Nothobranchius furzeri: one gene and its partner. The protein of the gene in region 2 interacts with the protein of the main gene of each other region in a biochemical or structural test. Links are inferred from orthologs where the notes say so. Each region holds a gene or a part of one and is shown on either strand. Other genes may lie near its edges.

Region 1 (7,604 bases), about 500 kb from region 2:
AATCTGTAATAAACGATGTGTACAATAAATCATTAAACATTGAATTCTTATGCATCAACTATATGAATAATTAAGTTCAAGGTGAGAGGAAATGCTGGATAATTCACAGACTGGGATCAGAAAGCGGTGGGAGCGAGAACCGCAGAAGAGAGCGGCGCGTGCGCGCACAAATAAACGCGAGCGCTCCTCCCACACAGGAAAAGAGAAGCGCGCTCCAGCGTCTCCACAGGGGTGAAAGGAGGCCATTTATTTTTTCAGGTAAACTGGAGGGGAGAACGTGCCTTACTGGTTTAATCCCACGTAACTGTTTAACCCACGTGACTGTAAAGGACTGTCGCTCAAAATGTCTGAACAGTTAGGTTTTTGTGCACAAATTTAAAGTCACCCCGTGTTTTTGTCTTTTTTTTTTCCAGCAATGTGGACCGAGCAACTAGGGAAACAACTTGGCAACCCCACACGGTCACTGGGGGGATGGTTGGTCAGCAAACTTTTTAAAATCCGCAACCAGGTTCTGGAGGACAACGCAGTGCAGCTTTGTGGGATCCAGCCGGGTGACACAGTTCTAGAGCTGGGTCATGGTCCTGGTCTGGGTCTGCAGTCTGCAGCCAAGCTCCTCACTGAGCCCACGGGCCACCTTATAGGGGTGGACTACTCTGAGTACATGCACCAGGTGAAGCACGGTTTATAAGAACTACAACAGCTCGATGGTCTAGTGGAATATATTTATATGTTCCTTTTAGAATAGTTAATAATTTGCTCTGTTGCAGATGGCAAAAGAAAGGATGAAGGATTTCATTGCCAGTGGTAAAGTGACCTTTCACCTCTGTGATGTTGCTGCAATGCCTCTGGCTGATGACACAGTAGATAAAGTATTTCACTGTAACTGTTACTACTTCTGGCCTGATCTCAACAAGGCAGCCACAGAGATACACCGGGTCATGAAACCAGGTAATATGACGGTTACATCCACCTAACATAAACCTGCTGCAAACATTGTTGTTTCCTGATTTTTAACCCATTCAGGAGGTCTGATGGTAACCACAATGAGACTTTCCCATGTGGCTGTTTTGGGAGCAAAGCGAGTGATGCCAGGAGAGAACTGGCGTCCAGATGCCTACATGGCAGCGCTCAGAGACTCTGGCTTCACTGATGTCAAAATGGAAGACAAATATCATCACAACATCCCTTTTCAGGCGATGTTTGCCACTGCTTCAAAATGAGATGTACCGTCAAGCTGTATGTGTGATTCTATCAGTTTGTTTTTTTAAATAATAATAATAATCACAGTGAAGATAAAGCTCTAAATTATTTTCAGATTCTCAGTTGTGTCACAACATTTAGTTCTGTGCTCTCATTGTGCAGATGAATTCTATTTTAAAGACACACAGATGAATTGTTACATTGAAATGTTTTAGTCGCAATTAGACATTTTTCTGTTAAAGTTCTGAAAAAGTTGGGAATATGTGTCAAGTTAATATTCACATTTCTAGGCAATAATTAGAATAGTTATTTTCTCTAAAACACACTAAAAATGATTAAAACTATACATTCATAGACTAATAATGTTGTTTAAAGAAGTAAGAATCTTTTTAATGTAGTTGATAAAATGTGGGAAACTCCTTTACTTTGTTATTATTATTTTTTTAAGTAATTTAGAACAGACGACACTAAATCATTCATGTTCTGTACCACTCATGTTCACTCGATCCAGCAAATTTATAAGAGGTGAGACCCAAGACAGATACCAATCTAAGAGGCTGAACTCTCAAGTGAGTTTTCTCTTCACACACAAAACCCGAGAGTCGTTTAGTTGTCGCCACTGGAGAACGACAATTCATCTGAGTTTGAAGTCCTGTATATCAAGCTGGGTTTAGCTCTTTTACTCCACAGAATTATCATATTTCAAACTAAATAAATACAGTTTAATTGTTTTCTTATTCAGCTAAATAGTATATAAAGACTGTTAGGTCGAGTTTTCTTGTCGCAAACACGCTAAAACGTTTTATTTTGAAAAAACTCAGGAAGTGTTTCTACCAAACCTAAAAAAAGAATTAGTATATCTTCTCCTCATTTGTTCTCCTAAATTTTATTATTCATAAGAAAACAAAAGAAAAAGAAAGATTATGACTTTTTAAATCAGCTTTATTGAAATATAAAACCTAAATGATCTCTTCTAAATGGTTTAACAGAACTATGGTGTAGTTTCGCCCTAACTCCACTAGATGGCGGTAGTTCCCCTCGCCGTTCACGGATTTGTAAATCTCTCTTCTTCTGCCGAATGTTATTACTCCCAAGAGAACAAAAAATAGGATTTTTCAGCTTTATTGAGATAAGAAAAAAACATGCAAAATCCACACAGAAAGGCCAGAGAAAACATTTGATTCAAATATCCATTTGATGCAGAAGAATAGTCAAAAATAGTATATTACAGAAAGACTGGAAGAGAATTAGAGAAAAATTTCTAAAAAAATTAATGTTGGAAGAGGTAAGATGCACAGTTAGAAACATGCGTGAATATTTTGATACTCAAACAGGATACACTGTTTTGTTTAAACTTCAGCAAACAACCAGAAATATTTCAACAGAAGAAGAATAAATATTTTTATTTTCTTGCGGAATATTTGAAGCAATATTAAATAAAAAAATAGACAATCTTGAGAAAAATAAAGAAAAAGAAAAACACTTGTAATATTCTATTAGTATCAGTTGGTGGAGGTAATGCACCAATCTGTGATTTCAAGCTACACGAAGAAGAAGCAGCGCGAGGCGGCGGCGCGTCGAGAGGGAAATCCAAAAACAACTCCGCCAACAAGTAAATCTTGTGAGAAGTTTAACCGCTCAGAGCAGAGGAGGACATCAGCTGGGAAACGTGAGTGAATAAGAGAAAACATCGATGCTTGTTTGTAACAATGAGCCTGCTAACCCTAACCCGAGCTAGTTTAACCAAATTCTTACCAGAAAGCACGATTATCTCAGCGTTTATCTTCACATACCCTCCTTATTTTATGTATTTATTTATGTTCCGCCTCTAAAAGAATGCAAAGGGCTTCCCGTTTGAAGCGTGAACTTCAGATGTTGAGCACCGATCCTCCTCCCGGGATCACATGCTGGCAGACCGAGGAACGGATCGACGACCTCCGGGCACGTAAGTCCCACCAAGTCCCTGAATCTGAAACCACTATCATACAATCTTAGTAGAACAGAACCCATGCAGTAGCTCCATTTTTACTATCAGAGGCTTCTATGTCTTTATAAACAACAGCCATCAACGTTTTGGGGATAAATCTAGACTTTTGTCCATAATTAACAAACATGATCTGACTGCAGTGTGTGTTTTTGGTGTTCTTCAATACTTCGAAATGAGTAAAGTGTCTAAAACTTTAATATCCATCCTTAGTAATAATGGTTATTAACTTTTCTTATTATTTACTTGGATGTTGCTGTTCAAAAACTGTTTTTTTCTCTTCCTTGCAGAGATAGTAGGAGGAACAGGTACTCCTTATGAAGGTGGAGTCTTCTCCCTTGAGGTCAAGATACCAGAGAGGTTTATATTTTATTTGCATTGATGAAACTTCTGCAGTTTTTTTTTACTAGACACAGTAACTTGCCAAGTGTTTACCATTCTTTTCACACAGATATCCATTTGAGCCTCCAAAAATGCGATTCTTGACCCCAATCTACCACCCAAACATCGACACCTCGGGGCGTATCTGTCATGATGCTCTCAAACTACCACCAAAGGTTGTGAGAATAAAATAAACTTTTGATGTGCTTTATTCTAATTTTTTTCTTGCTTTGTACCACCTGATTGTTTGTGTATATGAGCGCACACACACACACACACACACACACCACACACACACACACACACACACACACACACACACCACACACACACACCACACACACACACACACGCACACACACTCACTCGTGTGTGTATGATCACTTTGTTTTCTGTGTTTTTTTCAGGGTGCCTGGAAGCCGTCTCTGAACATCTCCACTGTTCTTACCTCGATTCAGTTGCTCATGGCTGAGCCCAATCCAGATGACCCACTGATGGCAGATATCGTAGGTCATCTTCTTTTAGAAACGTGATCTCATGCTTCCTATTGGTTAGTTTTTATAAACATATTGGTTCCTGTGAGTTAACATCAATGAGGAGTTTAATGAGAACCTGTTTTTAAGATATTTAATTTGAAAGTTTCTGTGAAATCTGGTTTATTTTAACATTGAAACTGTATCTGTGAGCATGTCCAATCAAATGGATAGTTACAGTGCATGTTTCTGACTTTCAATTTTCTGTTTCAAATTCAGTCTTCAGAGTTCAAATACAACAAACACGTGTTTGTGGAGAAGGCCAGGAGGTGGACACAGGAACATGCAGTTCAGAAGAACACTGTAAGCTCTTATTCTCTCATTCACACCGTGGTTCTGCCAAACAGCCACTCCATTACATCTCATCTTCTAGCCCGTTTGGTTCTGTGAAGACCTCTGGGGCAAACTCAGAGGTGGATCAACTTCAACCATCTATTCTGTCACCGTTGTTTCACACCTGACACAGATGCAGGAAGGCGTAGGGCTACTGGAAAATATTTAGTGATTTTCCTGATTTATTAAAATGGTTGATTTCATTGTTCACTCAATCTGTACAATTTTGGTTAGATTTTTTTTATCCTTAATGGTGTAATCATGTGCGTTGGCTTACTTGAACCACTAAGGGGTGCTAATTTCAAAAGAAAACCTCATCTTTTAACATTGAAAAGCACAAGTTGTACATGTAAAGGGAAGGTTTTGAGCCACCATAGTTCATGTGTGCTTTGCTTCACTCATTTTTGTGCAGACACACTAAGTTGGTCAAAGTGTAATGGAGTTTACTAAAAGTGCAGAAACTGGTTCCCAAAAAGGGTCTTCCTATGACCGAAATGAAAAATTAGTCAAACTCCAAAGCAGATGTTGATCGATCTTATTTTTTCTATTGCTGATGTCGATAGATAAAGGTCATGGTCAGCCGACGGCCGGTGTCGGTACAGGATCTGCTCGGGTGCAAGATCGGCTCGGGGTCCTTCGACTGCCGATGACGTCAAAGTACGGCAAACCCACTCGGACAAAATACACTACACATCTATACTGTTGGAAAGAATTTAGCAGTTTTGTTATTAAAATAATGTTTCTTAAGACATAAGTTTGTGTTTATAATGGTATTTGTAAAATAAAACACTATATTTTATTCATAATGTTGAACTCCTCTTTGAGCACATCCCTTGAAGAATCATAGGTATTAGCAACACCTGTGAAATTGTATTTGCAGGAAAGAAGTGTGTCCCGTTTATTGAAGTATTTTGTTTTTAGAGTTTTTGACGTCTTGTCCATGAGTAGTTCAGTTACACTCATAGCTGCTAGCCAAAACTCTGGAGTTAAAAGTTTTCTGGCTTTACTAAAATACCTGTCTGTACTTATTTGATTGATGATATTTTTACTTTCTATTAGACTCCAAATGTAATCATTTGGCACGTTTCTAATTCATAATTTGTAATAACGTAATCGGCGATATTAGCATTAGCATTCCTATGGGTTTTTCCATGTATATCAGCATTGCGCTAACCACTCGCTGCCAAATTGCAGCCTTTGAGATTAGAAAATCTCCTTTTGTCACATCGCAATTTAATTGCACATGCAGTTAATCTTTCAGCCCTAATATACATACAGCTCTATGCTAAAAGTGTATTTTCAAAGAGGTAATGACGGATTTCTTTGTAAAAGTTGTCCATCTTTCCAATAGAAAGATTTGCCTGGACGAACGTAACGTGATAACAACGTAACGTGATTAAGTAATTCCGTAAGGTTCATGTTCAGCCAATCAACTACTTAGACGTCATCGGCAGTCGACGGACCCCGAGCCAATTTTGCACCCGAGCAGATCTTGTACCGACACCGGTTTGTGCTGCAGATGTTTTGGGCCAATTTTTCATGGCCAATATCGAGATGTTTTCCATCTTATTATTTTTTTTTTGCTAAAATGTCACTAATAACATCAGTTGATGCACAAAATTTCAGAAATGGAATCAGCTTTTGAACACTGACTTTAGCCAGCTGTTAAATCGGTGTTAAAATAAGACATCTGTCTAAAGTTACTCAAACAAATCAGTAAACTGACCAAGTGTTAAATATTCCAAACTGGTAAATAAAAATACATTTTCATTGGAAATAGTTTTTATAGCAAAGATGTTATTCAGTAACATAAAAATGCACTTAAAATATAATCTGCGTTAGCTTCAGGCTGCCCAGGGATGTGCCTGACTTTAAATCAGCTTTACTAAGGAGGTATATCTGCTGATTTCGATATATAAAAAAAGGTCAAATATTGACCCAGTATATTGGCTGACCAATGTATCGGGCTACCCCTACTCCAAAAATAAACTTGGAAAATTCTTATGAAAGCCTGAAGGCTGTTGACTCATTGGGGAAAAATGATAGTGGAATGAAGAGTTACTTAAGACTTATGCACATTTCTACAACCAGATGGGACCATTTGAGTTTCTGCATTTCTCTTTAAAGTTGCAGAGGAGCACCAAAAAGCTGCAATAGGCCTGTTAGTCTAAATCAGTTTTCTGTGTTTTTGTTCAGGGAGTTGCAGAGAACGACAAAGAAAACACTCCAGATCAGAAAGTCCCTCCAAAACGAGATGCGTTCTCTCAACAGGAGACAGAAAAACCAGCAAAGCGACATTGTGTGTAGCTTCAACATCGTTGCACATCTGTTGACTCTTTGTGGTTTGAATCTGCAATTTAGTATTAATGCTGCCTTTCATTTATTACGTATAATCCGTAGGTTTTGCACATGTATACACAATCTGTATTGTAATTGTAATAAAGTTAAATAATGTTGTGTGTCACGTCTTGACCTTTAATGCGTTATGGTGGTGAGGCAGAGCGCTAGATGTATATAAAGTATGAAGATCATAATTTTGTTCAGACATATGCTTAACAGTAGTTTATTAAGTATGTACAACCTAACTAGTACACATTTTTGTTTTTACAAACTAAAAGATTTTATTTCTTAATATATAAAATAATATAATTGTTTATAAAAAAGGAGACAAATATCATGAGGCTGTAGTTTGTCAATACCGTAGTTCAGAGGTAGTTACATTGTTTATATATTTATAAATGCCGATTGCTATCCTACTCCAAAGTCAGCAGAAATATAGCTATGTACCATTGCATTCATGACTGCATTACACCTGTAGAGCAGAGGTAAATATTTGAGACAGGGACATGCAAACCATACAAAACCATGTGAAATTCGCTTCTGCTGCATTATGTTGCCCCTACAGAACACTTATCTAATAGCTGTTGTATCGGACATTTGTAAAGTTCTTTATCGCACAATGTTGCTGTAGAAAACACTTCCAGCTTACGCTGGTAAAATGATCAGGCGTGTTTGACAAAGATTCCCCTTTTGGAAATAGAACTCAGCAAGAAGAACTTATTAAAAAGTCCATTTAAAACATTAAACAAGTTCATTATAAGTCGATTTTCTCACCACATTTCAATATAAACACATATTTTCTACGGGTCAGCCATTGATTTTTGTAATGATTA
Region 2 (6,951 bases):
AATGGGTTCCTCCTGCAGGTAGCGAGTGAGCTCCAGCTCGGCTCTAACTCTCTTCGGGGCGGTTACAGAAGACGTCCTTGTCCGTGACTTCAGCAGGTCTCCAAGCGTTTTTTTCTTTGCCGCTGGTGGCAGCACTGCCTGCTCCAAGGTCTCTGGCTGGGCTGCAGCTGACGCACTGACACCGCTCCCTCCATCTTCCATGTGTACTATCTCCTCGATCAGCGCGGACTTTACCTCTCAGCATGCGCTGTCGCGATATTTAATCAAGTGCGGTAATGGCGGTGGCACGTCCTGCAGCGCGGTGGGTTTCTTAATATCGCGATATTTTCTTCTTGCGGTTACCGCAACAGCCCTAGTGTGCATATCTGTCTGAGGTGTTTTTTTTTTTGTTTTTTTTTGTATAGCAAAGCTACCCTCTCAGGTGAGGGTAACACTGAAGTGCCTTTTTTTTTCCCTCCCCCTGATTTTATCCTCATAAACCCTCTTGATCTATTACGGTAGCGCGACTCGGGTTGCGAATGACCACAGTCGCCAATTCTTGTCATGTATGTATGTCTGATCTCCAAATTGTGTGTACTGAAACTCTTTATTTCTCTCTATTCTTATTTCCCTCTGGGATTAATAAAGTATTATTGAATTGAATTGTCCCAGAGGAGGTCTTGTTTTTGACATGTATGCATTCTTTACATTTGCATCACACAAGTCCAATGTCTTGTTTTCTCTGGTGGAGCAGCTGACAAACTGTTGAAATGTTGGAAGTGTAGCAGAGAGCGAGGCATGATTAAAATCACCAGATATAGCCACAAATGCATTGGGGTGCTGGGTTTGTAGCTTAGCGACAACTGAACTGATGGCATCACATGCACTTTCAGCAATGGCTGAAGGTGGAATATAAACGGTTGCCAAGACAACACTGGTGAACTCTCTTGGCAAATAATATAGGTGACAACTCACTGCCAAGAGATCTACATCTGGGCTACAGAGACATTTCACTGAAACATGACCTGGATGGCACCATCTGTTGTTGACTAGCACTGCCACTCCCCCTCCTTTTCTTTTCCCGCTCCTCTTCAGTTCTCTGTGAGTGCGTTTACATGCAGCCAGTAACCCTTTTAAAACCCGAATATTCACAATAACCCGGTTCCGCAGGTCCATGTAAACACCGTCAAAAACCCGGATATGCTCATAACCGGGTTTTTAAAAACCTGGTTACTACACCTGGGGTAACCCTTTTCTAACCCGAATGTTTGGTCGTGTAAACGCATATCGGGATATCTCCATCAAAGCGTGTGTTCTGCGCATGCTCTGTTCGCAAGGAATCTTGGTCTTTTGAGTAGCGAGACATCTTGTATGCGCCAGAACACCGGAAGTAAACGACAAGTTGGGAGCAACATGGCGAGTCGCGGCACAGCACCACACTTTTGGAGTGACGAGGAAACTAAAGCGCAAACAAACGCGGTCGCTATCTCTTACGAACTGGGAAACATGTTGTTTTCACGGATACCGGAACAAGAAGAACCGGAAATGACGCATATTGGGTCTGGACGTAGTCCATACGTCCTGACGCTACCCCATCGTCCGCATTTAAATCAGGTTATGCAAGTTGGGGGTAACTCTTTCTATTTATGCTTGTAAACTGGTTATTCTGATCAACTTAGAAACCCGAATACCGACCTTAACCCGATAATAACCCGGATATTGGCTGCATGTAAACGTAGTCTGTCACGTCTCAGTGAAACACATAACACTGCACTGCCGAAACTCTGGCTGAGTCCTTGAAAGAGCTTGGAGTTCATCCATCTTGTTGGCCAGTGATCTCACATTGCCCATTGTGATCGATAGAAGAGATGGTTTGAATTTCATCTTTGTCTCCGTTTTGCTCCCGCTCTGCGCCCACGCTTCTTGCGTTTTAGCTCATTTGGGATTTGTGGCTTCAGTTGAGGTATTATTTCCCCCTTCCAATGTTAATCAGCTGCTCCCAATTGTAAACCAGCTTGTTGCCATGGTTACACATCATAACAAATGCTCAAAAAGTGGAAAAAAAAGGCAGTAAAAATCCTCTAAGCTTCACAGCACCAGAAACAGAAAAGTAAAATGTCCAAAAAATACGGTTTTTCTTGAGAAACTAGAAGAAAAAATGTCCAAAAAAAGGCTAAACTTGCTTATAGTCAACAGAGCTACTCCAACATGCAGCCACCCAGAGCAGAGCAGCTTTAAGCATTTTTTTCTCCCAACTTTTAACTCATTAACTGCCAGCTGTTTCCTGATCAGAAAAGCCCTTCGCTGCCAGCAATTTTCAGCGTTTTCTCTGGGGTGTTTTTTTGGGAAGAGTCACAGAACGTTCTGCTTTATGATGATGTCAACACCAAAACAAAGCAGAGGCTCACTTTTTACATCGGGAAGAATCCGCGCGTTTCGAGCGTTATCCGTTCTTTCATAATCCGTTGTCGAATTGTGATCGGCAGAAGCTTTTCCGATCCGCCTCACTTTTTTTTACAGCAGTAGCCCAAAACGATCTACCACATGGATCTTCTGCTTCCTGATCACGTGACGTGTGACATACGCGGATGAAGTTCAGCTAGAGTGTTTGTTCTCACGGTGCGGGGGCTCGTTCCGGTGCCCACATGGTAAAAAAAAAAAAAGAAAAAAAAAAAGGGAGTTAAGATTTGGTCACTTAATTTCTGTTGTTAATTGATTGGTCACTTCCTGTTCAACACGCACATTTTCATAGATGGAATAAAGTGGTAAAAGTAGATGGCTCTTGATGACTGATGTTGTTGCATTAAAATGCTTTAAGATGCTAATCAGTTAACAGTTAATGGCTAAGATGTTCTAATGTTTGAAATTATGATTATGTATCACAATAAAACACATATTTAGAGATTAACTGTGAAGCTTTCTACTATCGTGACACAAATTATCTTCAATACTAACTAGCACGCACTAAACTAGAAAATAACTTTCTTTTTTTTTTGTGGAGTGCATGTTTACTGTGGTTTAGTTGTTTAAGTTGCTTTATTGTTAGACCAACATGTCTGAGCAGGTTTGGGTGAAAAGGCTGCAGATGGGAGGAGTGCTGGAGAGGTTCTGGCAATAACTTAAGCCGGGCGTACACTGTGTGACTTTTTCACTTTTTTGAGCCGATTTTCCACTCGTGCGAGAATCCACGAGATCAGGGCGAGTTTTGCGTCGAGCGTCATGTAGTGTACAGGGGGTTACGAAAGGCGATTAACACCACGTGACCAGCTGCCGATCAGCAATCGTGAGCTCGCACGGACTTCTGGCGTGTTTAATATTTTGCTCGTGCCTCGTGAGGGTATCGCACTGTTGAAGCGGCGCTGCGAGCAGCTGCGACCCAAAATGTATCAGAACCGCTCACGGCACATGCGCAATCCTGCATCAACACCGCTCCCCGCTATTTCCCTAATAACACACGCTGTTCGTTTTAATTTCTACACGTTTTTTTTACTCACAAAGATTGTCAAGAAAGCGTGTTAGTCGTGTTCATGTCAAATTAAACTGATCACAAAACACAGATTTACTTTCTTTATTTCGTTTTCCTCATCCAAACCCCATAAATCGCTGTGCGTCCTCCTGCAGCACTCCCGAAGGACAACAGGCAAAACAAGACAAAAAAGTAACGTGTTGAGTAAAAACGGCTATTTTTAGGTCCGATGTGTTGCTACCAGACGTACAGTGTGAGCAGTCAGGTCGCATCCGAGAACTGGGTCGTGCAGTGTGAGCGCATGACTCGTGAGATCTGCCCTGCGAGGAAGTCTTACAGTTTGAGCTGAAGCGGAGTGCTTCGAGTGAAAAAGTCGCACAATGTACGCCCGTCTTAAGACTTCTCTTTTCATCTCGTTCACATAAATGGGGCTGTTGGTGTTTTTGTCCCTCCTGACATCTTGTATTTTGTCTGTGGTTAGTTTTACATTCGGGAGGAGGATCTGGGGCAGAACAGAGCAGAAGTGAGTCAGCCCCATTTGGCTGAACTCAACAACTACGTTTCTGTGACTGCGTACACCGGAGAGCTCACTGAAGACTACCTTACCAAGTTCCAGGTAAACCTGCAATATAATATAAAGACTTTATTTTCCTGGTGAGAAAAGAGCATTTTTTTTTAATGTTGGTGTCTATGGTTTTCCCCAAGGTGGTGGTGCTGACTAACTCAACTCTAGATGAACAACAGCGTTTGGGGGAGTTTTGTCACACTAAAGAAATCAAGCTGGTTGTTGCAGACACACGCGGCCTATTTGGGTAAAGCTCACTCTTGTTTTTATGTTTTCTGTTGACTTCAGTACAAAGCCAGTTGTTAGACTATTTTCTGTTTCTTTCGTCTTGTAGTCAACTGTTCTGTGACTTTGGGGAGGAGATGGTAGTATATGATACCAACGGAGAGCAGCCGCTTAGTGCCATGATCTCCATGATCACAAAGGTTAGCTTGTTCCTTTCATGTTTGTCACATAAAAGACGATTGACTTTAACAGGAAGGTTGCTGATCTGTGTCTTTAGGACAGCGCCGGTGTTGTAACATGTCTGGATGAGGCTCGTCACGGGTTTGAGAGTGGAGACCACGTCACCTTCACAGAGGTGCAGGGTATGACAGAGCTCAACGGGTGTCAGCCAGTGGAAATCAAAGTCCTGGGTCCATACACCTTCAGCATCTGTGACACGACAGGCTTTTCCGACTACATCAGAGGAGGGATCGTCACCCAAGTTAAGATGGCAAAGAAGATCAGTTTTGTAAGTGGTTAGAGGGCATTCGAGGTGCCACTGTCATTTCTAATGTTGCAACTAATCAGCACATAACCATCACTTTTCCTCTGCAGAAATCCATCTGCACCTCCATGGCCGAGCCAGAGTTCATGCTGACAGATTTTGCTAAATTTGACCATCCAGGACAACTTCATGCAGGCTTCCAGGCGATCCATGCATTCCAGAAGAAACACAGCCGCCTTCCGGCACCTTGGAGCCAGGTATCTGTCCGACTGCATAGTTGGAGGTTTAGTATCTAACGTATATTTTTGATTGACTGGCTCCACAGGAGCTATCCTGGAAGCCTTTGTAATGGCTAGCCCTGGTGATAACTCAGCAGAATGCATGGGCAGTGCCAGTGTGTATTTGATTTAGTGAGATTGGTAAATTGCTGAGCTTTGTGTTTTCCAGGCTGATGGTGAAGAGTTACTGACTTTGGCCAAGGAGGTGAACTCTGCTCAGACGGGCTCTGCCAAAGTGGAGCAGCTGAACGAAGCGCTCATCAAGAAGATGGCTTATGTCGCCGCCGGGGATCTTTCTCCTATCAATGCCTTCATCGGGGGCGTGGCTGCACAAGAAGTGATGAAGGTTGGAGGAAAATGCATAAACTAAGAGCTGCAGAATAAAAATCCAAAACCTTTTAACCAGACTTGAATGTTCAAAGTGATCAGTACAAATAAGTTTGTTAAATATTTTACATTCTGTGTCCTGTCAGGCCTCTACGGGGAAATTTATGCCTGTGATGCAGTGGCTGTACTTTGATGCTCTGGAGTGTCTGTCTGAAGGGGACGACGTCATGCTCACAGAGGAAGAGTGCTCGCCTGTCAGTGTTCAGAGAATATTAAAGTGTTTTTCACTGAAGACAAAACCACACGACTGCTGAGGAAAACCTCGGTGTTAACCTTTTTTTATTTTTACGTCTCTGCTTTTCTAGAGGAACTGTCGTTATGACGGGCAGATCGCCGTGTTTGGCACAAAGCTTCAGGATATGCTAGCCAACCAGCGCTACTTCCTGGTGAGTCACAATAGGGACTTTTAAACAGGAAGTGCCTTTAAAAATGTCTGAAAACGGTGGCACTACAGTAACTTTAAAAGTACACAGACTAATAATAATTTTGTATTTTTTGGCCTTACATGGGTTAAAGCAGGAATTGAGTTCTCCGTCGTGGCGACGGAAATCTGTCAGTTGGAATAATCAGAAAAAAGTTCAGTCAAAATCTCTTATTGCGCTCGCTTGGGTTTAGTAGTCTCTCGCTCTCTCCTGTTTCTAATTGAAACGCGCACCGGTATTGTTGAAACGTGTTTCTGCACCGCCCAAGCTGCAAAAACGCGTGCGCTCATTGCTCGCTCCCACGGTGCGCACAAACAAACTGCGCCCGCACCAGGCGCTGGGATTCTAACAGAGCCAATAAAGCTCTGATATCACAATGAGAGTTAACGTAATGAGCGGAACCAGGACCCAAATTCCCGGTGGGCCGATCTGAGGTCGGTGTTTTTAGTTGTCTCTTTGTTTTTTTCGGGCCTGTGTTCAGTCATGACGCTCTGCTGATCACCTGCTGATGAGAGGATTTCTCCTGTCAGTGGAACAGGTGAGCTGCTGAACAAGCGTTAGTTCCTAGAAACACTGTCTATGCCCAGACTAGTGACCTGTTATTTGTAATTTTATAATTAATATTAAGGGAATGCACTAAACCCACAAATGATGGAAGATGAGATTAAATATTATTAATCATATTACCATCAAATGTAAATAAGTATAACAGATAACTAATCTTGATGAAAAAATTATATTAATTTTTATTTTAATATTGATTATATTTAATTTCTACGGTGTGGATGTCTGTGAACATTACAGAATATTCAGATTGGTGTAAAGAACATGTTATTAATAACGGGTCATGATCTAAAGCTGGTCTGAGGTATAAAACTCTGCCCTGGGCCTAAAGCCCTGCAGATATATTTAGTTTCTATGAACACCAACAACAAATAAATAACAGCAGCTGGATTCTACTTTGTTCCTTAAATTGTGTCACGTAGTTTTTCAAGTTCTGCAGCTCACACGTTCATCATTGAGCCCTACCAGCTGATTGGTTCTTTTGGTATCTAGTGCAGTTCTGGTACTGAGCAGCATGGATGCATTAGTGGATTTCACTGTAGTCTGTGTTCATAATGGATTAAAGGACAGGAAAACATTAA

Evidence for each region. The genes of interacting proteins can lie anywhere in the genome.
Region 1: of the proteins of uba1 (region 2) and ube2t, one has a biochemical effect on the other in vitro, tested with the Homo sapiens proteins (4 studies listed by BioGRID, with this or other methods). The link is inferred for Nothobranchius furzeri from reciprocal best matches to the Homo sapiens genes UBA1 and UBE2T.

The regions. Positions count from the first base shown.
Region 1 is NC_091755.1:24,717,513-24,725,116, forward strand, and holds ube2t (ubiquitin-conjugating enzyme E2 T), read left to right. Parts: upstream 1-2,741; 5' UTR 2,742-2,869; intron 2,870-3,035; 5' UTR 3,036-3,036; coding exon 3,037-3,145; intron 3,146-3,474; coding exon 3,475-3,544; intron 3,545-3,635; coding exon 3,636-3,741; intron 3,742-3,972; coding exon 3,973-4,071; intron 4,072-4,317; coding exon 4,318-4,401; intron 4,402-6,627; coding exon 6,628-6,738; 3' UTR 6,739-6,895; downstream 6,896-7,604. Other genes in the region: zgc:194242 (uncharacterized methyltransferase YdaC), read left to right, coding at 416-670, 768-948, 1,024-1,220. UniProt on the Homo sapiens protein: Accepts ubiquitin from the E1 complex and catalyzes its covalent attachment to other proteins. Catalyzes monoubiquitination. Involved in mitomycin-C (MMC)-induced DNA repair.
Region 2 is NC_091755.1:24,214,637-24,221,587, reverse strand, and holds part of uba1 (ubiquitin-like modifier-activating enzyme 1), read left to right. Parts: intron 1-3,926; coding exon 3,927-4,061; intron 4,062-4,150; coding exon 4,151-4,257; intron 4,258-4,344; coding exon 4,345-4,435; intron 4,436-4,512; coding exon 4,513-4,743; intron 4,744-4,829; coding exon 4,830-4,976; intron 4,977-5,166; coding exon 5,167-5,343; intron 5,344-5,470; coding exon 5,471-5,578; intron 5,579-5,689; coding exon 5,690-5,770; intron 5,771-6,951. UniProt on the Homo sapiens protein: Catalyzes the first step in ubiquitin conjugation to mark cellular proteins for degradation through the ubiquitin-proteasome system.